Linked DNA regions of Notamacropus eugenii. The protein of the gene in region 1 purifies or fractionates together with the protein of each later gene. This does not show direct contact. Links are inferred from orthologs where the notes say so. Each region holds a gene or a part of one and is shown in the gene's direction. Other genes may lie near its edges.

The links.
Region 2: the proteins of NCK1 (region 1) and ARHGEF7 purify together in Homo sapiens (co-immunoprecipitation; 3 studies listed by BioGRID and IntAct, with this or other methods). This does not show direct contact. The link is inferred for Notamacropus eugenii from reciprocal best matches to the Homo sapiens genes NCK1 and ARHGEF7.
Region 3: the proteins of NCK1 (region 1) and WASL purify together in Homo sapiens (co-immunoprecipitation; 4 studies listed by BioGRID and IntAct, with this or other methods). This does not show direct contact. The link is inferred for Notamacropus eugenii from reciprocal best matches to the Homo sapiens genes NCK1 and WASL.
Region 4: the proteins of NCK1 (region 1) and ABI1 purify together in Homo sapiens (co-immunoprecipitation; 4 studies listed by BioGRID and IntAct, with this or other methods). This does not show direct contact. The link is inferred for Notamacropus eugenii from reciprocal best matches to the Homo sapiens genes NCK1 and ABI1.

The regions. Positions count from the first base shown.
Region 1 is NC_092876.1:330,764,339-330,772,165, reverse strand, and holds the start of NCK1 (SH2/SH3 adapter protein NCK1), read left to right. Parts: upstream 1-4,820; 5' UTR 4,821-5,118; intron 5,119-5,849; exon of another isoform or gene 5,850-6,140; intron 6,141-7,827. UniProt on the Homo sapiens protein: Adapter protein which associates with tyrosine-phosphorylated growth factor receptors, such as KDR and PDGFRB, or their cellular substrates. Maintains low levels of EIF2S1 phosphorylation by promoting its dephosphorylation by PP1.
Region 2 is NC_092877.1:211,259,195-211,266,131, reverse strand, and holds the start of ARHGEF7 (rho guanine nucleotide exchange factor 7), read left to right. Parts: upstream 1-3,931; 5' UTR 3,932-4,003; coding exon 4,004-4,168; intron 4,169-4,392; exon of another isoform or gene 4,393-4,542; intron 4,543-6,937. UniProt on the Homo sapiens protein: Acts as a RAC1 guanine nucleotide exchange factor (GEF) and can induce membrane ruffling. Functions in cell migration, attachment and cell spreading. Promotes targeting of RAC1 to focal adhesions. May function as a positive regulator of apoptosis.
Region 3 is NC_092874.1:127,332,737-127,339,727, forward strand, and holds the start of WASL (actin nucleation-promoting factor WASL), read left to right. Parts: upstream 1-3,986; 5' UTR 3,987-4,454; coding exon 4,455-4,574; intron 4,575-6,991. UniProt on the Homo sapiens protein: Regulates actin polymerization by stimulating the actin-nucleating activity of the Arp2/3 complex. Involved in various processes, such as mitosis and cytokinesis, via its role in the regulation of actin polymerization.
Region 4 is NC_092874.1:67,587,214-67,594,215, reverse strand, and holds the start of ABI1 (abl interactor 1), read left to right. Parts: upstream 1-3,991; 5' UTR 3,992-4,207; coding exon 4,208-4,324; intron 4,325-5,081; exon of another isoform or gene 5,082-7,002. UniProt on the Homo sapiens protein: May act in negative regulation of cell growth and transformation by interacting with nonreceptor tyrosine kinases ABL1 and/or ABL2. May play a role in regulation of EGF-induced Erk pathway activation. Involved in cytoskeletal reorganization and EGFR signaling.

The DNA.
Region 1 (7,827 bases):
TGCTTTATTTCAGATATTCAAATTCTGCTCATTTCAACTTTCAGTTGACAATTGAGTTCACAGAGGCAGAATGAGGTCATAGAAAACTCAATGAACTGGGAGTCAAGAGAGTTGGGTACTTATGCCAACTGGTTACTTCTTTGATATGTTACAATCTCTCTGGGACTCAGCTTCTGTATCTGTAAAATGAAGGGGTTAAGATAGATGATATCTGTGCCCCCCCTCTCCCCCTAATTTTGAAAACTCATTCCTTCCTTGGACCTTTAAATAAATAAAAATATAAAACAACAAACTCAACATTCTTCTGAATGAGGTATATTAAAGACACTTTTAACTAATACATGCTTATTGATTTTCTCACCCTTTGGAGTCTGAGCCAGTAGGGAAAGGAATGCAGAGGTCTTGCTTTAAGTATCATTCTTCTAATACTAAAATCTGAATGTGTAAAATATCTGAAGTTTACAAAAGGATTGTTCACTCTATAAAGGGAATCACTAGGCAGAAAGGTGATACAGTGCATAGAGTGTAGAGCCTAGAGTGGGGAAGATTCAGCTTCCTGAGTTGGAATTCAACCTTAGACATTTATTAGTTGTGTGATTCTGGGTAAGTCACTTAACTCTGTTTGCCTCAGTTCCTCATCTATAAAATGAGCTGGAAAAAGAAATGGCAAATCACTCTAGTATCATTGCTAAGAAAACCCCAAGTGGGGTTCACGAAGAGTTGGACTCAACTGAAATGACTGAGCAACACCAACAGAGGGATCCACCACAGATTTCTTCTGAATAGATGTCTTTACTACTCAAGTTAAATTGTATGTTCAAAAAATTTAATTTATGAACTTTTAAAGAGTCCATTTATTTAATCACTCAACAAATGCTGATCAAATAGATATCAATTTGACAATATTTATTTATTTATTGAGCCATGCTAGGTATTATGAAGTCTACAAGCAAGAATAAGAGAAGTGTGGCTCTGTGTTTAAGGGGTCAATAGTCTTCTTTGGGAAACAAAACATATTCATTAAAGCAATAACTTCATATGATGGAAGAAACTTGGGATGGAGTCAGACAAGCTGAGTTCTGGTCCTTGATTTAAGGTTAACTAGTTGGGACATTTGACCATTATAGGCTCTCTGAACTTTAGCTTCTTCATCTGTGAAGTGAAGAGATCATAATACATTATTTCATAGCTTACTATCCAGTTCTATAATTCTGTGATTATAAATTAGCTAGGATGACTATTAATATAATTCAGAAGTGGGACAATTTAGAGTCAGAAGAACTGAGTTCCAATTCTAGCTCTGCAACTTAGTGTTTGTGTGACCTCAAGAAAGTTATTTGACTCCTCTAGGTCTCAGTATTCTCAACCGTAAAAATGAGAGGACCTCTAAGGTCCTCCCTATCATCTCTAAATCTATGACCTTATGCTTCTATGATAAAGTATGAAAAAGACAGGAAAGAACTGAACTTAAGACCTAGAGATCCATGGATTCCAATTCCTTGTCACTTATGACGAGCTATGTAACTTTGGACAAATCACTTAAACTTTATGTGTCATAGCTTGATCTGTAGAACTGGGATAATATTAAGTATACTACCTACTTCATAGGATTATTGTAGGAAAAGTGCTCTGTAAATCTTATATAAACTTATATGAATGAGTTATTTTTTTTTTTGAGACATTAGGCAGGAAAAAATCACAGGACTTAAGTGCTTAGTTGGATATATGTGACAAGAGAGAGGTTCCAAGTCTTCATGAGAGAAAAAATGATGGTATTATTGATAAGAGTAGGGAAGATTTGGAATGGAATTTTTGGGGAAAAATGATAAATTCATTTTCAGTTCAATTCAACAAACATTTATTAAGCATATGCCTACCATGAGCAAAGCAGTCTTGAACTTGAGGTGATGGCGAGAAACTCATGTAGTTTAGAGGAGAGGTCAGGCCTAGAAACCTCTTTTGGGGAGCCATTTACATAGAAGTTATAACTGAAACAATGAGCATGGCTAAGTTCTATAATGCAGAGGAGAGCAGGGAGCCTATTCCAACCTTGCAGAAAGAAGAAAAATAGGATAGTAGGAGGAGAGTTTTGCTGACTGTTGAAGCTTAAACTGGGTTTGAGGCCTGATCAAAGGTCATTAGATATAACATTTAGGAGATCATTGATGACCTTTGAGAGATTAGTTAGAGCAGAATGTTGAGGGCAGAAGGTAATAATTACACCTGGATAGAACTTTCTTCAAGACAATTCTGTGAGGGTTAATAATTGAATTATTATCCCTACTATATGGATGGGGAAACTGAGGCTCTGAGAGGTTGAATTCACAATCATGTAACATGTTAGAACTAGACTTTGAAAGTGTGTTGCCTAAATTTAAGTCCAGTATTCTTTTCATTACCTTGATGGGTTTTGGAATGAATAGATGACGGAAGAAATAGAAACAGCAGACAACTTTTGGAGAAATATGACAGTCAAAAGAAGAGGAGGAAAAGGACACTAGGTAGGAGGGGCATCTTTTTTTTTAAAATGGCTATAGATATGTATATATATATATATATATATATATATATATATATATATATACCTGTTGTATTATACCACATAAAATAAATATTATAGTGTTTTCAAATGTTAAAAATTTACAACTGAAATTAATTGGTACAAAATCCATTAAAATGTAATATTACAAAACATAGGATTTAAATTTATTATTGCTAGGCTACTCTCTACTTCATCATAGGGTTTTAAGAACATCAGGTAAGGGAGGGCCTTAGTTCCACAAAATTCACCCATCCTCATTGTTTTCCTAGAACACTTAGTTCCTTCAGTTACTTCCGCTTACCCACATCTCTCTTTTTAATATATCTTTGTTTTTATATCTCCTAAATTTCTTCTAGCATCCTTCCCTAGCCTCTCCTAGAGAGCCATCCCATACAACAAAAGATATAAAAGAAGCAATTAGCAAAACTGAATAATACATTGAAAAGGTCTGAAAATATATGCTAGGTTCTACACCTGTGGACTTTCTATTTCATCAAAGGAATTGAAGGAAATGTTTTATGTCTCTTTCTTTGGGACCATGCTTGTTCTTTGTAATTTCACAACACTCATTTTCAGTTATTTTGTGGTGGTTTTTCTTTTCATCTACATTGTTGTAGTTACTGTGTATATTGTTTTCTTGGCTATGCTTACTTTACTCTGTATAACAGCTTTCCTTGCTTCTTTGTAGTCATCATATTCCTATTTCTTATGAAATAGTAAGATTCCATTATACTTATCTTCTATGATTTGTTAGTCATTTCGCATTCGATGACTTTGCTTCCAGTTCTTTGTAAACAGTGATGCAATAAATATTTTGGTGTATATTGAGACTCCTTTATTTAGTCCTAATTGGCTACTAGCAACTGTCATCAGTGGCCCCACCTCTGAATAAAAAGGTCAAATGTACTATGTAATTCAAGGCAGGGAGAAATCAGGAGGAATCGTTTTGTACCTTCCTAACTCCTGCCGCTTATGGATAGCAATGGACCTCATCCCATCTATCCTATAGCCTTTTGGCCATTCTCAACACATTGATCTCATTCATTCCTCAAATCCAAATACACTGCCAATCTTGTTGCTTCTACACTTACAGTACATGTTATCTTCTTTCTTCTCACAGAATTTTCATCCTGATGTAGGATCATATCACTTTACACCTGGGTTACAATAGCTTTCTGGTTGGTCTCCTTGTCTCAAGTACCTCCCCATTTTAGTTTCACTCATCTGCTAGGGTAATTTTTCTAAAGTGTAGTTCTGACTTCCTTAAAGACTGAGCTCAAATTTTACCTTGTGAGGGACTTTCCTGACCTTCTCCCCCAACTCCCCAGCCACTGATGTTTTCCCTTTTCAGCTCATCTTCATCTCTTTCTATATCTTTCATGTACCTAGTTATTTACATGTTGTCTTTCTCATTAGAATATATACTCATTGAGGGCATTTTTTTTTCTTTCTATATATCCCCAGGACTTAGCACAGTACCTGGCATAGTAAATGCTTAATAAATGCTTTTGGACTGTCTACGTGATTTTGGTCAAATAACTTACCCTCCCTGGTCCTCAGTTTTCTGATCTGTAAAATGGGGATATTAGACTCGCTGGCCCTCTGAGGCACCTTCTGAGGTCTAGATTTATGATCCATTGCCTACAACTCTACAAAGCTTCTCTTTAGCTGGGATTCCAACCACTCTGACTCTCTAGACAGCCCTTACTTCCTAACCCAAATGGCACTATTCTTGACTAGGGAAGAAGATTCTGATATATTGTGAATACAGAACACGCTTAAGAAGAATATGAGAAGGGAAAAGTACCAACAAAAGATAATTAAGCTTCATCGGTGAGGAAGGGAATACTCTAGAGAGGTCTTTACCCCAGAATAGTTGTAATACTTTCAAGTATTACACATTTCCAGTGAAGGTATTCATTACATAACTCCTTATCTCCTTTTTTTGCTTTCCCCTTTGCTTTGCCATCTCTCCCCTCCCTCCCCCTTTTTCTTTGCCCTTCTGGTCTCATTCCAGTGTGGGTGCCGAAAAAGAGATGGGGGCAAAATAAAGAAAATCAAGAAAGAACAAGCTTAGAGATAAATTGAAACCAGACTTTAGCAGGATTAATCTCTTTCCTAGTTGCTTCTGTGAGGGCTGATGTGGGGTGGAGGAACTACAAGATTCCAAGGGATGTAGGTTTAAATCTTGGCAATTATCAGACAGAGAGGAAGTCAGATGACTGTCAGCCCTTCGCACAGTGCCTAGCACACACAGTTGACCTCTAGTAAATGCTCATCAACTTGACTCAGGATCAGATACCTGGGTGCCTTATTTAACCTCCTAGGTTTTAGTTTCTTCACTTAGAAAATGAAAAGGGCTGGCGAAGATGATTTCTAAGGCCCTTCTGGCTAAATCCCTTCAACATGTGCCTTTAGTGCGGTACTGTCTCCCAGGCAGTGGTATCCACTGAATTTGAAGAAGTGGATGCGAGCCAGGACTGTGGGAGACGATGTGGAAACCCCCCCAACAGGTGCCAGGTGAGACACCGAGAGGAGACAATGCCCAAGTCACCGACGGCTTTTTAACTTGTCAGGTGAGTGTCATGGCTTTGTCTTCCCCCCCCGACTCTTTTTTTCTTTTGTAAGCCAGAAAGGAAGTGGCTGTTTAGATCGGAGGTAATGAGAAGTAAAGCTCCCCGGACCGCAGCCTCATGGTTTGGGTTCGCGTCTTTGTGGCTGGTCTGGCCCACGAGATCGGGGGGAGGAGGGTGCCCGCCTGCTCCGGCCCAATTGAAGATGGGTTCCCATTTCCATCCCCGCGATCTATACTTTCCACCAAACAACTGGACCTTCCGGACCCTCCCAGGTCCCAGAACCAGGGTGCTGCAGCCTCTGGGCCTCGCGGACGGCGCTGCGGCGGCCGCCCAGCCCGGACACGAGCCGGAAGGGAAGTTGCCATAGAAGCCGCCAAGGTCAGCGGTGCCACTACCGGGGAGGAGGCGGCTAGGTGCCCAAAGGAACGGGCAGACCCAACGAGGGCACCACGAAGAAGCGGCTTGCTGCCCTGGCTCGGTTTGCGCTCTTAAGGTCACCCCGACAACCGCGAGGCAAGGTACAAGGCAAGCGAGTGACATCTGGCCCTCCAAGCCCCAGCCACCAGCCACCCGGTGGGTTCCCTCCCAGCGCGCGCGTGCCCGGCGACTTTGATTGACGGACAGCTACGCCCAATCCCCTCCCGCTCTCGGAGCGCTCCTCGAGTCAGCGTCTTTGAGCCAATCACCGGCGGCCAGGAGGGAGTTTCCTGGGGGGCGGGGTACCGAGCTAGGGAGAAGTAGGAGGAGCCGACCCAACGGATCGGAGCGAGGCTGCCGCAGGCGGGGGCCGGTGGGCACCGTGCGCGCGCCCGTGCGCGCTCTTCTTCCCTCCCTCCTTCCCTCCCTCTCTCCGAGGTGCCCCTCCCCCTCCCTCTCGGGCCCGAGCTACGCGGCGGCGCCGAGGCCTCCTGCCCGGTAACGGCCGTTCCCCCTTCCCCCATCCCCGCCGCGGCGGTGGCAGCGGCTTCCTCGTCGTTCCCTCCTGCTCCTCGGCTGAGCGGCGACCGCGGCGGCCCTGCGGGGTAAGTGCGGGGCCGGCTCGCGGGCAGGTAGCCCGGCTGCCCTGAGGTTGGCCCCGGGTGGGGGGAGGGCAGGGCTGGGGGCCCAGCCAGTCTCCCGGCCGGACGGCGGACGGCCGTTCCCCGCCCCCTCCCGTCCTCGCCTCATCCTCCCTCCCCCTCCCCCCGCCCTCTGTGGTCTCCTTGCGGGCCCTCCCTCCCCGCACGCTCCTCCTGGCCAGCCTCCCCCGCCCCGTCCGACTGTTCATCCATTCGTCTGTCCCTCCCTCCCTCAGGATCGGTCGCTCTCAGTCCAGGCGGCCGGTGGTGCCCAGCCGCCGCCCGTCTGGGAGCATCGGGGGCTGGAGGCAAGTCAGTCAGTCAGTCAGTCAGTCAGTCAGCAAGCAGTTACTTAGGGCTGGGTTCTGCGGTAAGAGCCTGAGATGCAAAGAGTGAAAAAACAAAACGTAGCACCCCCCGACCCCCCAAAAAGCAGAGAGCCCCCGCTTCTTTTCCTACAGCGAAGACAATGTCTAGGTGAGGGGTCCTTCCCCTTTTTGTAAGCCCCTTTGGGATCAGCATGCTGGGACCTCATCTCGGAACAATCCTTTTAAATGCATGAAAAACACAGGATTTGCAGAGGAGACCGGAGTTATATTAAATACAGTTAGAAACACATTCTTGAGACAGCTAGAGTCACAGACCCCAGATTAACACTTTTCATCTTGGCACGTAAGTGAAACACGAGGCTCTGAAGGCAGCTGTTGAGGATTTAAGAAAGGAGGTGTGATGAGGGAAGATTTTGATAAGTTCTGTTGTACGTCTGTTTAAAAGTCAGAAGTATAGCTTAGTACCCTGAGAAAGAAGGGAAAAGGTGAGGGTAGGGATGATAGGGGAGCTCCCATAAGTTTGTTACGGTAGAAGGGAGTTGGGCACCTCATGGAGACTTGTGAACCTTCAGAACGGGCTTTTCCTTCTCCCCGAGTCTTTTTTGTTGTTTGTTCACTTGTGTTGGGGGATCCCGAGCCATCACTTCCATCACTAGTGGAAGGCGTATGTCTTTGAAATGGTGCCACAAAGCTTCATTGGTGGAGGCATGTGCTTTAATTGGTAGCGTAGACTGGGAATGTCATTTGATAGGTGCTCTTGGTGCACCTATTGCGATTTGTGTGTGTCTTTACATAAAAGTTAAGCTTAGCAACAAGAACTGGGTTGTAGACTAAAGTTCAGAGGAACTGGGAAAAATGATTTAGTTCTTAGGTAGACTAAGAACTCTACCAAAGCAGTCCTGAAAGAAACAGTAGCATTTTCAAAAGAATAATTTAAAAGTGATGGGGTTTTGTACTTTTAGCCCTACCTTGATATTAGGTAACTCTAGATGATAGGTGCCTAAAGTCGAAAACAGCATGTTGCAGTGGAAACAGTGCACTGGATTGAAAACAAGAGGAGCTGGATTCGATTCAGAAGCTACCACTTACTATCTGCTTATCTTATGGGAATTTATTTTGATTTTTTAGACTTCATTGTCCAAAAAACTACAGCCCTTTCCAGCTCTCCATTTATGATTTATGATCCTAAAACTAGAAGGCCTTGCAGAAGATAGGAATAGAAACATATATGAAAAAAATCTCAAGTAGTTTTATTTAATTTATTAATTTTCTGTTGAATTTAGTGTCAAACAACAAACATTTATAAAGTACCTATTTTGTGC
Region 2 (6,937 bases), on another chromosome or scaffold:
TTTACATTTGCATTTTAGTATTAGTATTGTTACTATCCAAAATATACTTTCCCATAACCAGTTAAAATTCTGGTTCTTAGAGCTGAATCTTGCCTGTCCTATTTTAAATTAGACTTATTTGGTCTTCTTGTTTGATCTTACTCAGATATAGGAAGCAAATTTTCAGTGTTCTCTACATTAGAAACACCTTCCAAATACCTGAAGGATTCGAAAGGATTTTCCTTCCCTTGACAACTTTAATTCTTTCAACCTTTTTATTTAAAATCTTAATTTTATTCCATTGATTATTTTGCTGTTTTTCTTTTGACACTCTTTTATATATCTTTTGAAGTGTTGTTACCTCAACTGGTTACAATATTGATTAATTCATAGTTCACCGGATAGATTTTTTTTCCTGCTCCTTGCACAGTCACTTTGTTATATCCTAGCGCTAGGTGGACATTTTCCTGCTACCCAATCTTCCCCCAACTTGGTTGACAGGCAACATAGCCTAGTGAATGGCATAGTGGACTTGCAGCCAAAAAAGGTCTGGGTTTGAATCTTACCTTTGATAATTGTAAGTCATAAATTTAGAGTTAGAATGTACCTTAAAGATCATCATAGCAGCTGCATGACTGTAGGCAATTTAATGAACCTCCATACCTCTCTAGGACTTATCTATGAAGCCTAAAATATCTACTATCTACTAAGTCATAGTTGATGATATTTTATTTTTGTCTTAATGAAAGCTCCATTACTTATTCTATTTGAAATACATCATAATTTAAAAGTCCAAATAATAACCATTTTATCAAGACATTTTAAATTTTATTCCTGTCCTTCTGAGTATTAGCAGCTCTGCTTGATCAATTCTTAGGAACTTCAAAAGATTTTTGATTTAATGGATATTCCCACCATCTCTTGCCTTAGTAGATATGTCAAGATTTGCCCTTGGCACTACCCCTCACCTGCCCTCCATCACTTGGTGGTTAACTTTCTGGCAATGAGGCTCTTTGATCTTAACCTAGGCTGGTCCTTGGATGACAGTCCCATGCTCACAGCTTTTCCCACTTTATGGTAACTTAAGCATCTAGAACCCTCCCCAGGCCCCAAGGAACAACATTATCTGCAAATGTATTGATATTATTCTAAATTCCTTCTGTGGATCATCTTAATAGTAGTAAATACAAGGGAGGAGGGAAAGATTTTTCTGGAAATCTTAGCTTAGGTTAATAATACTGATAATTAGCATTTGGTTAAAACTCTTGGACCAGATATTTACCTCCCTTTTCTTGGTCATCATATAAGGAAAGCAGCATAATTTATGTTTATTTAGCATAATCATGAGGATAAGAAGTGGACCTTAATGCTAGTGCCTTCTCTCTGTTGGTTATCTGCAACTTATTCTGTATCCATCATTTGTACATGGCTGTTTGCATGCTTTCTCCCCCATTCCCACAAGACTGTAAGTTTCTTGAGAGCAGGGACTACATTTTGCCTTTCTTCGTATTCCCATCATTTAGAGCCTGGAATACAGCAGATGCTTAAAAAATACTAGGTGACTGATTGATTTCATTAGAATAGGGAATTTCCAGATGAAGAAATTCCGTCTACCAATTCAGGTTGTGACTGTCTCTGTGGCTTGTCGTCTGAGAACTGTTTACAGTACTGAAAGGTTAAATGATTTGCCCAAGGTTGAATAACCTAGATGGACCAAAGGTAGGACTTCTTGAACTCAGGCCTTTCTGGTTTGGGGGCCAATTCTGCATTCACTATGACATACTGCCTCTCTGTATAATTATAGGGACATAAAAACAGATTCGATGCCTTGATATGAAAACAATATGGTATTTATTGCCATTTTTGTCCAAAAAATCAAGCTGCTTCTGGCATTATTTTGAGTATTTACATACAAATGTGAATGAATATTAAAATAATGAAGAGGAAATAGAGGCAGTAAAGTTGAACCAGAAAACATAGGAAGAATGGTATTAATTGCCTACAACAGTGGAGTACTGAATGAAAGCAGAAGTTGAGGTAGGGGAGAGCATTGTAAAGTTCTTTTGGATATTTAAAAATCTTATATAGCTTTCCAGTCCTTTCCATAAACTATCATTATGGAAAGTCACAAAAAAAGCAAACAAGGAAAACATTGGCAGACTGTAGACATAATGAGTGGAAATAAATGTAGCAAAGGAAAGCCAATGCTTTAGCCAGCATATTCTATTTCAATAAAAGACTTGATTTCTCCTGTGAACCGTATGGAGATGAAAGAAATGTGTAAATATCATTAGCCATTTCTTTCTTTTTCTTAAATAAGTCTTTTTTTTTTTCATTTACACAGCATGTTTTGAAGCTAAGGCTAGGAAAGAAAGAAAAATGATACCAGTTCCTAACTGACCATCCCCACCATGCTCCCACATGCTAACCATGGGCTGTATGCCCCATGTCTACTCTTAAAGTTCTTTGTAGAAAAAAATTGACTGGATCTAACTGTGACATTCCTCCCAAACCAACTTAAGAAATCAATCAAACCCAATATTGATTAAATACAAAATAAGTCTTCCTTATGTCTCTGTGTAATACCATTTCTGATTTTTCCCCTAGATTTTTGGATCGAATATCTCCATTTAAAATGGAATAACTACCAAGTTTCTACTAGATATTCTGTCCTCACCCAAACCTCTAGAAGGGGCCACTAATTGCCAGCAAGCCACATTAACCAACCCTCCACTAGGGGACACACAAGACTCAAGCTGTACTGAGTTAGATTGCAGTTCACGTTCACAGGGACACACAGCATTATTGAAAACCCACTCCTGCCCAATTTAGACCCATGGACATGGCAAAAAAAAGTATATTACGTGATTGTTGATTTGTAACAGTGAGGAGAATGCCACGTATTTGGGGCCCCCTTCCTCACCACTCACATTTAAAAAAAAAATAAAATTGTCATAAATAAAAGGAGGAGGGAGCATTATGGGAAACTTTGGGTGGTTGGTTTTTTTTTTTTTAACAACACATTATAAAAATCGAAAAACCGTAAGTCTTTTTAAGCAAAGGAGTGAGGCATAAGGACAGAGAATGAAAGGAGTAAAGGAAGATTCTTCCAGATGGTGTCTCCTTAAAATTGCCCAGGCAGAAGCGCAAATGGTTAACATATTGTATAAAGGAAAGTGCACATGGGCACCTCGCACTTGTACAGTTCGAGGATAAAAGGCTGCCACCCGCGACTGAAAATGAACTAGTTTCTCTAGAGGTCAAAGGGACTTCTTTCAGACGGTGCTTCCTTGGCTGAGATGGTACAGACACACTATACCCAAAAAAAGACTTTACATGATATACACCTGACCAACTAAAGATATTTAGCGTCTAGATCTGTGAATTCCTCTATCCCACGACCACATTCTACACTGGCACTTGGTCCAGGACGTCAGCTGCTGGATAAACCTTTGCAGACTGGCTCTGGAGACACGTCTTTGTATCTGTGGGTCGTGCTGGAACGCCAGCACGCCTCGGATACCCCAGCCTCGCCCCCCGGGCGCCTCTGCTAGGGCCCGTGCTCATGGCTAGAACACGCTAAGACGATGACAGGATGTGGAGCTGGTGGCAAACGGCGTCTTTTCTTCTCCTCCTGTCAGTGATGTCATTGGGCGACAGCAGCTGAAGGAAGGCTCGGAGGAGGAGGAGGAGGCGCCCGGCTGTGGCTGCTGCTGATGCAGGTTCATGTGCATATAATGAAAAGGCACTTGACAGTCTGCCAAAACGCACGAGAGGGAGAGAGGGAGAAACTGGACCTGCTGGATTTCGCAAAGCCAATCGTCATCATCTGCATCTACATGGGGAAGGAGGAGGAGGAGGAGGAGGGATCAGCAGCTCCAGCCGCCGCTGCTCCAATGTGAAACCACAAGCCAAAAGGGGGGGATCCAAAAAAAAGAGAGGCGGCGGGGGGGCGGGGGGAGAGAGGCGGCTCCGTGGGCAATTCTCTCCCTTTTCCCTGCGGATTCCTCTTCCTCCGGCAGCTATGAATTCCGCCGAACAGACCGTTACGTGGCTGATTACCTTGGGGGTGCTGGAGTCGCCCAAAAAAACCATTTCGGACCCGGAGGGCTTTTTGCAGTCGTCTCTGAAAGATGGGGTGGTCCTCTGCAGGCTGCTGGACCGCCTGCTCCCTGGGACCATAGAGAAAGTAAGTGCAATATCTCCTCTCCACGCCTTCCACCGCGCTCCCCCCACCGCACCCCACCCCACCGCACCCCACCCTGCCTACCCCCACCCCCTGCTCTCCTCCACAGAACTGATCGTGCCAGCCCTGGCCGGATGGTGTGTTTCACCGGAGGGCACACACACATCTACACACCCCATTTTCTCTCCACCCCCCGCCCCTTCCTCTCCCTTCCAAGGCTCGACCACCTCTGCCGAAGCCGGGAAACGCCTTTGAATGTGCTCGGGCACAATGACCTAACCTCGGGGCTGCTGGGGCGTGCGGGGAAGCGGCCAGAGGGGCCGCGCTGCCCCGGGGCGCTCTGCCTGCCTCCCGGCCAGCCCGCCCGGTCTGGGGACTTCGCCCTACGCACTTTCCTTTGTGCGCTGATCTCCCTCGGAGAGCCGGGTCAGCGCGGAAAGCGGCGTGCGGCTTCTGCGGGGTGAGCAGCGCTCCCCCAGACCCGGGGAGCGGGAGCTCCAAAGGCGCCATTGTGTGGGGGACGTGGGGAGGGGGCGGGGGGGGCCGGGCCCGGAGCGAGCCGAGGGGCTTCCGAGGCGGCGGCGGGGGCACCCGGAGCCCGAGGAGGCGCGGCGGCGTCCAGACCTAGCCATGCGTCCGTCCTCTGTCCTCTGCCACCGCCGCCCACCGCTCCGGCTTTGGGAGGGAACCAGAGTCCCCCCGCGCAGACTGGCCATGACTTCTGCTTCTCAGACGTTATAAAAAGTCGAGGGGGCTCCAGTTCCGTGACCCCACCGGAAAAACCCGTTTGGATGCGGCACCGTCTCCCGAAGTGCCACTCTCGGGACCAAACCTTCGGTCACGCTCAACAGTTCAACTTTTCTCTTTTTGGGGGGAGGGGGAAGAAGAAGGAGGGGGTCTAAACGCACTGGTTACTTTGTAATTCTCCCCCGCGTGCACGCAACAAAAGCTGGTTAATTACTTCGATGTAGCAAGAATTCCTCCTGTAGTCTGAAGGATCTTGGGATCCCTTCAGTTAAAACCCCTAAACGTGTGAGTATTGGTTTAAGATGCTTGAATTTTATTCCCAGATTTAGACCTTGGATCCGAGCAGAACTGATCTAGCCCTAGAGACCCTGTTACTCATAATGTCTGCAGCCAATAAGCTGCACACTCACTCATTCAGAGGAACATATGTGCGAACTTTGACCTGCTTATCTTTGAGAGCCTAAAGTTTATCTTCATGCTGGACAGGAAGATGAGAAAAGGGAGGATCCGGTGCAAAGGACTGCACAAAGGATGCTCCCTCTTTTAAATGTCAAATTCTACTTCCAATTTTTTTCTTCTGTGAAACAGCATTAAAACTAGTGAATAATGATTATAAAAAGGTTGAATATCTAAATTTGAACACTTCAGAATTAGAATGATGTCTGGAAAAGAATGAATTATATATTTTTAATATTTGTATACTATATATTAGCCATTCCAAATAATGAAGTAGCACTTTAATCATAATACAACACAAGTCGTTTATAGTCAAATATTATAGAAAGATACATTGTTACAGAACTCACCAATAAGTTTGAATATGTCCTTTTTCTTTCATTTTAAAAGACAAATCTTCTTTATTGATAGCAGATTATGAGAATCAGAAAATATTTATGGGGCACTTACAATATAGAAAAGCGCTCACTATTACAAGTACTTGGGGGATCCAAAGATGAACCATATCACATGCTTTCATATTTTTCTTGCTAGGGAACAACTTCGTAAAAAATGACCCCTCTTTTTTTTTTTTTAAATGAGTTCATCCTATTCTGCCTGACCTTGAAATAAAAATGTTTTGCTTGTAAATGATCCTAATGTCATAATAGAATTGTGATTTAAGATAGGAAAAAAGGAGTAGGAACTAACTTTTCAGAAACCCCAAAGACTTTGTTATCATTTAGATATCAGTATCTCTGGTAATAAAAACCAGATGAGAAGTACTGAAACTAAATGATAAATTAGCAGAATTATGGACAGAAAATATTTGTTATAGGTTCTAAAAGCAATACTTTAAGGAACTTAATCTTTTGTGTTGATAGCAAACACAGTTTTCTAGAAATGTATACTATTATATATAGGCCTCTAGAGTTATTTTAACTAGTAAATTTTGGTAATCAGTGGTTTCGAGTTAATATTTCTCTTTAGATTATGGAAAGGTATTCTTTAAAAACTTCAGAGATCACCTCATCTATTGAAAAAAAGTAGAGGGTTATAAGTTAGGCTTATAGAAGTCTCAAATAAAAAGTATCAAAATGAATGCTAATATTGAGACCCAGCCCTCTAAAGTCATTGAACAATCACTTTAATTGAGTATTATTTTCTCATTTTCAGAGATTATAGTGTAAGATCATCCTGTCATCATATATGATGAAATTATAAACTAAGAAATATCCATGGTTCAAAAAAGACTTTCTAGGGGTAGAACCTCAGTTTTGAAAAGTTCTCCTAATCAAGAGGGATGTCAGAGGAATTATAAATCTACTTCTTTTCTTATACAAAGTTATTCATTTAAAAAATATTGCTGTACATATCAAATAGCATATGCTGTAGTGCATACAATTCTGATTCGCTTGAAAGTAGACTATGAGATGGAATAATTTTTCCTTTAAAATGAAAAAAATCTGAATTTCACTGCATCTCAAATGTTGAGATGATAGACAAGGGGGAGGGGCATGCAGTCTGTGCTTGTTTTCTTTAAAATTTAAAGGATCTGAATCCTTGCCACTATACCCTGCTTCACCAAAA
Region 3 (6,991 bases), on another chromosome or scaffold:
AACTATTAAAAAAGTCTCCTAATCATCTTTTGTACTTCTCCAGTCTCCATGCAATCTCCCATGGCAGTGACCCAATAATCATCCTAAAGCACTGATTGTGCCTACTTTAAATCTTCAGGATTCCTACTGCTTAATGAATATAGAATAAATTTCTATTCCTGGCATTCAATGTTTTGGGCAAAATTTACCTTTTCAGTCTGATGTCATACGGTTACCCTTCACATGTTCTATGTTCTAGCTAACTAAGCCAAACTATTACCCAGAAGAACAGCTGTTGTAATCTGTTGGAGTGTGCTGGTAAGTTTTTAGCAGTAGTTCTAAAAAAAAAAAGTACAACATGCTTTTAAATTTAATTTGCATTATTAACGTTTTCTTAAATCTTGAACAATTAGTCAAGCCCTGATTTGTAGCATTTGCTACAAATGTAGCAAATGTAATGTAGATGTTGAGTTAATGCAATCATTAAGATAAAGGTTATAATAAGTTAAGTACCTACTTAAAGCTTAATCAAAACTTCTGGACAATTTTCATAGTTCTGGTACTAGACTGCAGGAATTGAAGGCCATGAATGCATTGACTCTTCCTGACCTAATTATCAAAGGTATCAATAAATAGCTGGGGGAATTCCTCAGGGGAGGACAGTGCAAGTTGGTTGGGAAAGAAACATCTTGAGATGAAGGATTTTGCTGCCAGTTTGACTAGGCCAGATGTAGATGTGACCCTGATTAACAAAAGATCTGAAATGTGTTGATTAGCTCAAGGCGTTAGTAGTTTCATAAGAGAAAGTTATATTACTTTCTTTGAGGAAGAAGCCTTAGAATTCCATGGCTGCAGAAGCTCAGAGAAACAGCACAGCAAAACAGGGGTGTGCAGGAGACAGTTGAAAAGGCTAATGAGAACCTGGTTGTGTATTTGGGGGGGATGCCTCAGAAATTGGCAAATGCTACAAATCAGGGCTTGATTAATTGTTCAAGATTTAAGAAAATGTTAATAATGCAAATTAAATTTAAAAGCATGTTGTACTTTTTTTTTTTTTTAGAACTACTGCTAAAAATTTACCAGCATACTCCAACAGATTATAACAGCAGTTCTTCTGGGTAGCTTTGGAAAGAGAGAGGATGCACAGCTTTTAAAGTATAGTGGAGTAGCAGTGACATATAGCCAGCATCAGGGAAATACAGATGCTTTCTGAGAGGTGGATCAGGTTTTGCTCAGGCCTACTTAGTGGTAACAGCTCAGGATTGGAATATTGGAATATAAGACACTTGTAGACTGTATAACATTTAACAAAAAGGAATTTACTTAATAGCATTGAAAGAGTTTTCAGGATCCTTACAACACTGATATATTTAGATGCAGCTTCCATGCCTCCCCATTTGCCACCATGATATATACCTGAGGGCTCTCCTTTACTGGGCTTTTTTACATAGGTTACTAGGAAACTATATCAAAGATTCAAGCATTAGTCTTCAAGACCATTAAATCTTGAAGATACTTTTTGCTCTTTAGAGGAAATCTAATAGCTTAGCCTACTTGGAGCAGATGAGGCTCCTACCACAGGGAGTTACCTGCTGTGATATAATTTCAAGATCAAAGATCATGAGATGTTCAGGGTAGAAGCGGCTCTACGGGATGGTGGCTAGAGGAAAGTGTGATCTCTTGCATCAATATGTCAATCTGCAGAAGACTCTCTTTTTGTATAAAAGGGGATGTTTCCTGCTTATTGACTTTGCTATTTTGTGCCAAATAAAGGTTTTGCTACTTGATGTATAGTTCCAGGTCTGTTGGTAGAGAATAAACTGATGGGGGGTTTAAACTGTATTTGTTTTACGATGAACAGCTAAAACACCTCATCCTGAAACTGGGCAATAGCTTATCTATACTACCCATAATTTCATGTGCCCATTCTCATCATTGGTGCAGAATAATAACAGCTAGCTTCTATGTAGAGCTTTAAGTATGCAAAGCACTTTACAAACATCATCTAATTTTATCCACACAGTAACACTATGAGGTAAGTGCTATTATTATTCCCATTTTTACAGATGAGGCAACTGGCAGAGATTTTGACTTGCCCATGATCACATAGGTAGTAAATTATCTGAATTCTTGGTCTTCCTGACTCTAGAGCTAGTGAGGTATCTGCTGTATTACCTAGCTGCCTCCAAACACCAGGTTCTTGGGGGAGAGTTTTAGGTGATAGAATTTTAAGGCAATGGAGATATAACAACCAATCAATCATTATTTATTAAGAATGTACTGATCCAGGTGCTGTACTTGATTATGGGGGTACATTAAGTACATATAAACATACAAAGATTTACAATGGATGAAAAAGGCAGCAGAGAACCAATCTCGGTATTTATATATGTAATAGATCTTTATTATATTCCAATACAACAATTTTATTTATTGAAACTTCTAATCTGTCTACCTTCCTCAAGTCTCTCCCAATGCCAATCAGCTAGTCTTCCTAAACCTTAGTACATCTGACCATGTCACATTCCCCTATTCAATAAACTCCATTGGCTCCCTATTTCCTCCAGGATCAAATATAAAATCTGTTTGGCTTTTAGAGCCCTAATTTGTCCCCTTCCTAATTTTCCAGTCTTCTTACACCTTACTCCCCTCATCATACTCTCAGATCTAGCGACACTGACTACCTTGCTAATTTTTCATACTTGGAAGACACTCCAGTTTCATGCATTTTACTGTGTCCTCCACAACTAAAAAAGTTCTTTCTCATATCCGACTTCCTTCAAGCCCAAGTTAAAGTCCCATCCTCTCAGAAGCCTTTCCTACTCTCCCTCATGCTACTCATGCTTTCTTTGTGATTTTCTCTCCTGTTTCTACAGTTTGTATGTAGTTGTTTGCACGTTGTCTCCCTCAACAGAATGTGAGTTTCTTGAGAGCAAGGATTAGTTGGGTTTTCTTTGTCCTTGGGTCGTTTATGTCTAGGGCAGTGCCTGGCACTTAGCAAAAATTTCATAAATGCTTATTGATTTGAACCAAATATAATTCAGGTGATATCAGCATTCAGCATTGCACAACAATAAAAGACATCGATTTTTAAAAAATTGTTGAGGTTTATTTCAAAGCATTCGGCAACTATTTCTACACTAATTCAACAAACATTTCTTAAGTGCCTACTATGTGCCGGGCACAGAAAAGTCACTGACGCCTGATGGTTGTTAAGGATGTTACAGGTAACATCCCCAAAGGAGTCTGCTTAAGGGAACTAAATAAAGAGAGCCTTCGGCCCCTCTCCCGGGTGGGAAGAGGGCGGCGAGTCCGCCTCCGAGAAGGAGTCCTTTCTGGGGCTCACGGCGAAGGTCCGTGCACAAGCGGGGAGTCCACCAGGTGCACGGCGTCACTGCCCCTCCGGGCGGGCCGAGGCAGCCAGGCCGGGCGCTTTCACGCAATTCCCCGGGGCCGAGAGCGGCCTGCCGCTAGACTCCTCCACTCCCTCGGAAGTTGGGACAAAACTAGAGAAGAGCTCGGACACCTGCACTTTCGGGTGACGCTGCCCGGGGCGGGGGCTGGGTGTGTAAGGGGCGAGGCGGGCGCGCGTTCCGTCGGCGAGCCCCCAAACAAGCCCCATTTCCCGGAGGCGAGGCCAAGGCCTGCTGGGAGGTTCGGGCACGGGGAGAGGTGAGGGGGTGCAGGAGGGAGATGGGATTCCCCGCATCCCTCCACCCACGCCTGGTCCTTTAGTCCCCGAGAAGCTGTAGCAGTTGAGGCTGGACCCTAACTGGAGACCGCGGCCTCCACAGGCCAACAGGTCGACCTCAAGAGGGAGGAGAGCCCGAGGGCACATCGTCACCTTGACGAGCAGCTGGCGGCCGGGCTGCTAGTTGTGCGCACCGGCCGCACTCCCACCTCGGGCGGAAGGGGAGGCGGGATCTGCAGGCGAGGAGGCGGAGCCTGTGGGGCGGGACTGGGCGGGCGGACTGGGACGAGGGGAGGGGGGGAGGAGGAGAAAGGTTGTTCTGGCTCTGGCGGCCGCAAGTTTCCGGCGCGCACCCCCGCCTCCCGTGTCCTGTGGTCTCGCCCGCCCCCGCTGCCATGTTGGATTCTGCGGCCCCCACCGCAGCCGCCGCCGCCGCCGCCGTCGCCGTCGCTGCTGCCTCGGAGGAGCCGGAGGAGTCCAGAGTTTAGCGCCGTCTCTAGTCGCGGAGGACGCGGACAGCAGAGCATCGGCAGCCGGCAACCTCTCTCCTCCACCAAGCCCGAAGCGAGGTCCCCCCAACCCCCGCCCGCGTCCGGCTCCTCCTCGTCCCCCCCTCCCCCAGAAGCCCTGAGATGCTGCGGCTCTGACTCCGCTTCTCCCCGCCCCTGTCACTGCAAGGGGGAGACCCACGCAGCCGCCCGGCCGCCCCGCGGCGGAGGAGGAGGACGCGGAAGACACGGCCCCAGCTCCGGCCCCGGCCCCGGCCCCGCCGGCCCCCGCCACCATGAGCAACAGCCAGCCGCAGCAGCAGCCGCCGCCGAGGAGGGTCACCAACGTGGGCTCGCTGCTCCTCACCCCGCAGGAGAACGAGGCGCTCTTCGGCTTCCTCGGCAAGAAATGTGTGGTCAGTTTCCCGACATTCGCCGCCCCCTCTGGAAAGAGTGGGAGAGGGGAGGGAGGGTCCGTCCCGGGAGCGCTGCCCACCTCCAGGGCCCAGCCAGGGAGGCTGGGGGGGCGGGGGCCCGAGGCGGTGTCACCTTCCCTGCTCCTTCTCCTTCAAACTTTATTCTCAGGCCACTGGGGGTGGGCGGGGAAGGGGTTCCTTTTGCCCGGGAGTCTCCCCATCCCCAGAAACGGGACTCCTTTCGGGCTCCCACTTAACCCCCTTGGGTAGCCTTCAGCATCCTCCAAAACGGGAAAGGCTGCGGACGCCGGCGCTTAGAAATGAATGAAGGGGGCCAGGAAGCGCCCCCAGCCCCCAGCCCCAGCTTGGTCGCTCTCCCCCGCCCCCTCCGGGCGCTGGGCTCCGTAGGAGAAACGCTCGGGTGCTTTGGGGCTGCAATGCCAGCTGTTCCCCGGCTCCTTCCGTTTCCAATCGAAAGGTCTGGTTCGAGCAGGAAATGCTGCGGCTCCTCCGACAGGGCTTGTTTCTGCTACATTCTCACCCGGGCCTGGTCCCTCCTTCCCTCCCTCCCTCCCTCCCTACCGGTGCTTGTCTTCCCCTGGAAGGCCGGGGAGGTGGAGGGGGGGCTGGGGAGGCGGGGAATGGATGCTGTTTGCCTCTCCGCCATGCGCAGTGGAAACTCGGTCTCTGATACTTCTGAGCCCCGAGGAAGCGGAGGGGGGTCGGGGGGACGGGACGGGAACGGCCGCGCTGAAGTCTTAGGCTGCGGTGGTGCTCGGCTCCGTCCAACCCCCGATGGCCGGTGCGGAGCGACGGGTTCTGCTGCGGGTTGTTGAGAAAGCGTTCCTTACATGGACTGCCGGCTCTTCTGGGGCTGGGGAGGATTTTGCCGGGTGGGGGTGTAGGCCTTGTCAGGCTTGGGCTGCATCTCCCAGTGGCTTGGGGCAGGGCTGTGGTTGAGTTAGCTGGAGGTCTGTCTTAGTTCCTCCTCTCCCTTACTTGTTACCACCTGCAGAGTTTTATGTGACCTGGGAGCAAGCAGTCAGTCACAGCGTAAGGGGGGAAAATTTAACCGAGAGATGTAATGCAACTACCTTCCTTAGTAACATTAAGCTATATCAGACCAGGCTACACCTGTTTGTACAAGAAGTCAGGATTAGAAAATTTCAGGAATGTTATCAGATTAATTGTTAACTCCCCAGGAGTCGACCCTTTGTATACCGTGCAAGAGTTGCAGTTTATAAGCTGGATCATTTGATTCAACTACAGACACTTACACTTCAGCTTTTAAAAAATTAAAGTTATTTCTAATGTTTGGCCGTGGTTCTGAGGCACAACATAGATTTTTAGCAAATGACATGATTTGGGTTTAAAGATTATACAGGTTAAGTGGTTGGCCGCAAGGATAGGTTAGGAAGAAGTTTGTGGCATACAATATTTAAGGGCTTTTTGTGACTTTTGCCTGCATCCTTATTTTCTGTTCTTGCAAGTGTAAAATGTTTAAATCTTGAAAATAATCACTCGAACAATAGAAATAACATGAACATTTTAAGGGAAAGCAGTAAACATTTTCATAGTGCTATGTGCCAGGTGCTTTTTACAAAATGACCCTGCTGTGTAGTTGTTAATATTATTATTCCCCACATTGCCGTTCAGAAAACCTCAGCAAACAACATGAATCGCATAGCTATAAGTGCGTATGTGAGACCTGATATGAATTAACATCTTCCTAAATCTAGACCCAGCCCTCTATTCTCCAGCTGCCTCCTAGAGCATTACTCTTATAAGGATCCTAGAATACGGTGTGGAGATACTTAGAATTTGAAAAAAATCATATCTATATAATGAGTTACTTTATAATTGTATATGAATACTACAATACCTTATAGTATTACACTTGCTACATTTTCTGAGTTGAAGGGGAAGTAATTTTCATATCAGACACATTTAGACAGGAAGGAAAATAGCAGTTGTATACAAGTGTACTAAGTAATTACTGTGAGATTGCCATTGCTGTTTACCGTTTGCCGCCTCTTCCAGTTTCAAAGAATGACTGGTTTGGAAGGACACAGAACAACTGTAATACAGAAAGGCTGTGTGTTTCAGTAGTTGAAGTAGTGAACTGGTAGATAAGCTGTTAAATTATTCTTTAGCCAGCCTTTTTGTCATGTCATTCAGTGTCAAACAAGACAAACTCCTTGCTTTTCACCTTTCCTTAACGACCCTACATTATTCATGTCTGTTTTGGATAGAATGCTGTTCAATTCAAGAAATATAAAACATTATGATAGGCACTGGGGATAAAGCGACAAAGGAAAGGAAAGTCTTTGCCTTCAAGGAGCTCACATTCTACTATGGGTAGGATGGAGTGTGATAAAGTATGAATATAGATGAGTAAAGTACGAAATAATTTGAAG
Region 4 (7,002 bases), on another chromosome or scaffold:
ATGGAATATTACAGGTACCATAAGAAATGATGAATATGACAAACCCTGGGAGACTTATTGAGGCAGAGTGAAGTCAGCAGTACCAGGAAAACAATGCACAGGATGACGACATAATTGTAAAGGACAGTACCCTCTGCTCCCCCTCCCCCTCCCTCTTCACCCAGAAATGGAATGCTGCATCAGTATAATGCCTATGCTTGGGAATGAAGAGATGTTATGCCAAGATATTATGCCTTCCTTCCTTCTTTGTAGTTTTGCCAAACTGCTTCCCCCCTTTTTTCCTCATCTTTGTTATGAGGGATGGTTATGAGGGATGGGGCAGCTAGCTGGCAAAGTGCATAAAGAGCTGGGCCTGGACTCAGAAAGATTCATCTTCCTGAGTTCAAGTTTGGTCTCAGACATTTACTGGTTGTGTGATACTGGGCAAGTAACTTAACCCTGTTTGCCTCCATTTTCTCATCTGTAGAATGAGCTCGAAAAGGAAATGACAAAGAACTATAGTATCTTTGCCAAGAAAATTCCAAATTGGGTCATGAAGAGTCAGAAACTACTAACTAGAAAGCTACTAACAAGGAAAGGTTTTTCAGTGGTGTAGGAAGGAGGGATATTTGAGAAATGATGGTGATATAAAAACCAAAGATATCAAAGCAAATTAAAAAAAAAAGACATTGTGAAGCATACATACGATTAGAAAAGGAAGTGTGCCAGTCACACAGCAAGTGCAAGGGATGACTTCACAAGGAGTCCCATTTCATTTTTAAGGCAGGTCATACTTAGACAGTTCTGATATCTGTCAGAAAATTAGACTTGTTAAAACAGCTCCTGTGTTCTACAGGTAGGCCCAAAAGATTAAAATTACTAGAAAAGGCATTCAGTACTTTGGGTAGATTCTGAATACATTCACTGAAAGACATGAACAATAATTGAGGGCCATCTCCAGTCATTCTGATCCAAATCTTACAACTGGACCCAGAGGAGAATGTGACTCAGGAGGAGAAAGGCTGGTGACTTTGCACAGTCCTTCCTCACTTAAATCTAATTTACCTGCAAGTCATGGCATCATCTTCCTGATGTCATGTTCATCTCCAAGAATGAAGGACAAACCTGAATAATAATCACATTGGACAAGAAGATGCGGATGACCTGGGATCTGTATCCATGGAGAAAATATCCACAGAAATGAGATAACAGAGCCTTTGAAGTACCTAAGGGGGTGTTCAGAGAAAAGAAGGGTGACAGTCCTGCTGTATTCTTCCGTAGTAAGGCCACATTTAGAGAACTGGATTCAATTATGCCTGGAGGAACATGACTAAGAGCTGAAAACCATGCCAGATAAGAAATAGTGGAAGGAACTGTGAATTTTTAGCTTGTTGAAGAGAATACATACATATACATGCATAAGGATATATGTATACAGAATACATTACAGGGCTATTAAATGGAAGGCAAAATCTGCAACAGTTATAAGGGTGGAACTAGGCCAGATGGTTGAAATTATAAGAGAAGCAGATTTTAGCACAATAGGAGTAAGAAGTTCCTAGCAATTAGAAACGGAATAGGGTTCCTTGTAAAGTAGTGAGCTCCCTCGCACTGTAAATAATAATAACGAATAATTATAGCTAACATTTATATGCTACTTTCTGTATGCCACATGCCCCACAAATGTTTAAGCAGAGGACTGATGGACTTTATCAAAAAGTGTTCAAGAGATATTGGAATATGATCCTCTGTCAGGAATGCCAAGAAAGGGACTCTTGAATTGAGTAAAAGGCTAGACTAGAGAACTGCTAACGTCTCTTCCAGTTCTAAAGATTCTATGATATTATGCTTTACTAATAACATGTATGTGCTATTGCAGAGTCTCAGGTGCTTACTGGCTAAGTGACCCTGGACTAGTCATTTAACTTCTGTCTGCCTCTGTTTCCTCATTTATAAGAGGGGGCTAATAAGAGCACCTACCTCTTGAGTTTATCGTGAGGACGAAATGAGATAAAAATGTTAAGTGCTCTTCATCCCTTTAAGTGCTATAACAAGGCTAGTTATTTATTATTATTGCCATATGTTTTAAAGATTCTGGCATATAGTTAGCTCAGTTTGTTAGAATATGGTTCTACAATTATGAGTTTTACAGCATATAAGCTTTTAAATTTGAAATATAGAAAAACTATGCTCCACAGCTTCAGGCTTTAAACTCCTCCCCCTTTCCCCCAGGAGGGACTATTAATAAAAAATTCATTCAAAGTGTATCTCTTAAAGTAGAATCAGTAAAGGCCTGATGATTATCTACCTTACTATTTTAGTTCTGATTCTGATTTGAAATCTTCTATTCTGTTGCAATATAAGTCATATTAAAAATTATTTTGTTGGCTGCTGATTTGGAGTTTGGAAAATAATGTCACCATAATTACAGATTGCATACTGTAGTACATCATATTTTTTACATATTGCAAGTGTAGGTAGCATTGAACAGTGGAAGGAGTGCATTAAGAATCTGAAAACTGGGTTCTATTTTTGTTTTTGCCTTTTAATGTGCTGACTTGGATAAATCACTTAGCTTCTAATTGACTGACTCATTTCTCCGAGTCTCAGTTTCTTCATTTCGAAAATAGGGATTATAAAGCCTGTTATGCATACTTTAGAGAGCTGCTATGCAGATTAAAAGAGATATAAGTGAAAATGGTAAAGCCCTGTAGACAAACGCAAAATTTTTCTTAATTGCTGTTGTAAAAAAAATTATGTTGTTGAAATTCAACATTATATTTAAATACTTTTTTTTTTTTGTTGCTATACAGTTCTATTCAGGCAACTCTCAGAAGATGTCAACTAGCACTGACAGAAGGAGTTTCTTCACAAGGGCTATACTAGTGAAATCGGGGCAGCTAGGTGGTGCAGTGGATAGAGCACCAGTGCAGGAGTCAGGAGGACCTGAGTTCAAATGGCACCTCAGACACTTGACACTTACTAGCCGTGTGACCTTGGGCAAGTCACTTAAGCTCTCTCTGCTGCCTCACCCAACAGGAATAATGCCCCTCAGGCTTGTCATAAGGATAAAAAAATGGTATTTTTTACCATTTACCAAAAATGGTATTTTTTGCCAGCTTTCAAGCTAGCTATCACTAATACCAGTTAAAAATGAGAAGATTTCTCTCAAACGCAGGGAGCAGTGCGACCCTTGCGACAAAGGGGAATGGAGAAGGCTCCCCCGGGAGAAGCCTGAATAGTTTAGGGTACCGCCCCCCCCACCCCGCGTGGAGCTCAGGAGGTGCAGGCCAATTAGCCACTTCCCCGATTCGAGCGACGTCGCGCGGGCACGGGTGGGTGCCTAACGGAGGCTTGTGGACTTGGCCATCCCCGGCATTCCGGGGGCCGGAATTAAACGGGAGTTCCGACTAGTCTCAGATGAGTTTGATGCCATTGCATTTGGGGCAGCCAGCACGTGGCCCGCGCCCCGATCCAGGACGGAGGAAGGGACCCGTGCCGGCTGAGGGAGGGAGGAGGGGGTGTGCATTTATGAAGCGCCCACTGCGTGCCAGGCACGGGGGGATGTCCGGAGGCAACGTGCGGAAGGGGAGGCGGGCGCGGCCGGTGTGGGAGGCCTGGGGGGCAGGGCGGGCCACCTTTCACCGAGGCCACAGGAAGGGCACGGTTAAGGTCAAGGCACACCCATCCCCGTCTCCCGGCTCGGATTTTTCCAGTAGCTGACAAACACCTGGTGGTTACTAGTAAGCCAGGCTCTCTCCCTCTCAGGTGCCACCTGCTGGCAGGCAGGAGGGCAGACCTCTCGGCTGGCTCGGCACATAATGCCACCATGCTACTTCCACACTTCCCTTCCCTCTCTCCCGCCGGTAGCTCGCGCGCTTGCGCAGTTGCCATCCCGGGAAAGTCCCCCGGGGTGGGGTGGTGGGGAGAGAAGACTACAACTCCCAGAGGGCAATGCAAAAGGGGAAAACCCAATCTCTCTGTTCAGAAGCTGCGGGGGTTGCGGGGGGAAGGGGAGCTGAAAGCTCGCGCATCGCGAGAACGAGACCGCAGCGGGTGGGGGTGAGGAGGAGGAAGAGGAGGAGGTGATGTCCCACAATACCAGGCGGGAGGGCGGGTAGGCGGCTTGTATCCGGGCTCAGAGGCTTGGACTCCCGGACTTCACCGCGCCGCTGCCGCCGCTCGCTGTCTCTTGGACGTGAGAGGAAGCGATGCGGAGGAGTGGAAAATGGCAGAGCTGCAGATGCTGCTAGAGGAAGAGATCCCGTCCGGCAAGAGGGCGCTGATCGAGAGTTACCAGAACCTGACCCGGGTGGCGGACTACTGTGAGAACAACTACATACAGGTGAGGCGGGGGGAGGGGAGGGTCAGGAGCGGCCCCCGCCCGGGGCCGGGCCCCCGCCCCGGGGAGAGGCACCGCCGCCCGCCCGCCGCCCCCGGCCGGGGCTCCGCCACAGGAAGTGGGCTGGGGTGGGAAGAGAAGGGGGAGAGCGAGAAAATGGGCGAGCGCCCGGAGGGGACCCGCTGCCGCCGCCTCGCCCTGCGCCCGCCCGCCGGCCGGGCTGCCCCGCTGACACCCCTGGCGCGCCCGGGCTCCCGCTGCGGCCGCTGGGGCCGCGGCGACCACCGCCACCCGCGCCCGATGAGCCTCGGCCGGAGGGAGCCGGCTACGGAGCGGGGAAACTGAGGCAGCGCGGCCAAGAGCCGGGCGGGGGGCGGGCGGGGAGCGTCTGTGTGTGTGTGATTGAGTATATATGTGTATGTGCTTGTATGTGTGTGTGTTATTGTGTGTTTGTGGTTGTGGGTATATATGTGTATGTGCTTGTGTGTGTGTGATTGTAAGTATATACGTGTGTGCTTGTAAGTGTGTGATTGTATGTATCTGAGTGATTTGGAGTGTTTGGGTGTATGATTGTGTGTATGTATATGTGAGCGCGACTCCATGTATGTGTGACCATGGGTGAGATTATGTATGTGCACTCATGTTTGTGTGACTGTTACGTGTGTGCTTGTAGGTATATGTGTGTTCTGGAGTGTGTGTGAGTGTGACTGTCGGGGAGAGAGGGTGGGGTAAGCGCGGGGGGAGGGAGGGGGGTGGATTATGTCAGCTAGCCCCAGAGGGTGTGCCTTGTATTCTATTTTATTTATTTGTCCTGAGTCACCTCGCTGGGGAGAAGGGCCCTTTGGGGGAGGGCTCTGGAGAGGAAGAAAGTGAATGGACCCCCTGACCCCCGGGCTTGGCCGCGGACTCGCGGGTTTCCAGACCGGTCCCCCCACCCCCCATCCACAGTTTCACTTCCGCTCTTGGGCTTTGGCTTCTCGTGCGGGAGGGTGATTAGAGCGATCGGGTAGAATTATTCGTCTTGAATTATTTTTAACTACTGGAGAGCTGCCTTGAGTGACCGCCCTTCTCCCTTATCCGTCAAAAATTTAAAAAAAGTTCTTAAAACTCCCGCATTTATCTATAACTTAGAACCTCTTCTTTCTGTTGGGTTCCCAGTTTTCTGACCACAGTTTTCTTTTACTTCTAATTGAGATAGATGGTTAGGATGATTAAAAATTGTTTCCAAGGCAGAAAACTACACACACATAAACATATTTGCATTCAAATGTATGTATGTGGAAATATACACAAATATATCTATCTACCCACATACCGATATTCCTACATATATTCATACGTATACCACACTTGCAGGGTGCCCCAAAAGTCAGAACTGTACTAAGACATTTGGTATAGCCTTTCTAATGATGTAAAAGTCGTGTAATATAAAATCATGAAACCTTGAGAATGTCTAGAGAATTTTTATTTCCTGAATTGAGTTTAGATGGAAATGCCTTTCTCACAACTCAGCTGTAAATGTTTAGGGTGTGGAAATAATGGACAAACTGTAATGGGCACTTAATATTGGATAGTCATGGCAGATAAGGGCTTTTGAAAGTTCTGGTTACTTCAATAATAAGGAGGCATAGAGACAATTTTTGGAAATAGCTCTTTTTTTGTAGCTATCTTGCCAATGCTTGCATTTCCTCCACTTTATTTCTCCTTAAAAGTAAAGAAAATGAATGGTTGCTTTTGTGAATATTTAGAATCTTTCTTAATTTTCATGTTCACTTCAACTACCTGCTAAGCATTGTGCTAATACCATAACTGTAGAAAAAAATGATTGACTCTTATTCTTATCCACTGATAATATAGATTTTTAAAAAAGTTAGTTTTGCAGACCAAGAAATAATTTTGTAGTTCACCAAAATGAAAGGCACATACTGAACTGAAGTTCCAAAGTCAAGCTTTGAAAATTCAGGTGAAAATTGGAAGGATCTTACAAGTCAAAACGTAAAATACCTTATCGGAATCTTCTAAAAGCCTACTTTCAACGGCTGTTGATAGATCCTTCAAAACAGGGAGGTTCCATTTGATTTTATATGTTGGGAAATACAACAGGTACTTGGTGTGGTAACATGTTTTAACCTGTCCAATTTTTTTCTTTGTCAGTGTAGTTGTTTTTTGTTTTTCTATTGCAAAACTTGGAAGCGGTTTAAACTCTACCAGGAATCTCTTCTATTAACATAAATTGCCTCATGTTACTTACTCTCCCTAGTAAAACCAGAATGCTAAGAATCCTGTTAGTGACTCTCAAAACTTTTTTCATTTTATCAGTTGAATACACAGACACACACACACACACACACACACACACACACACACACATTTTACCCTCAAACTAAAAAAGATAGGAAAATATTTTTGAAATAATGACAGGTACATATAACAATGATTGTCAGAATATATAGTCCTTTACCTTTCAAGCTTTGCTTGTGCCAGGTGCCTTGCCCTCCAAAGTAGGTAGAAAGTGAATGTGGTATTGGTGGAAGGTATCACCACTGCTGTTCTTGTCATTGCTATGGCTGCTTGAGATTCTTATTCATGTTCTTTCATGCATTTATCCTAAAGGTTGGAGAAGACTTTTTTTAAGCCTTTTTTATGACATTTCTGTGACCCATGGTACTTTCTGGTGCTAA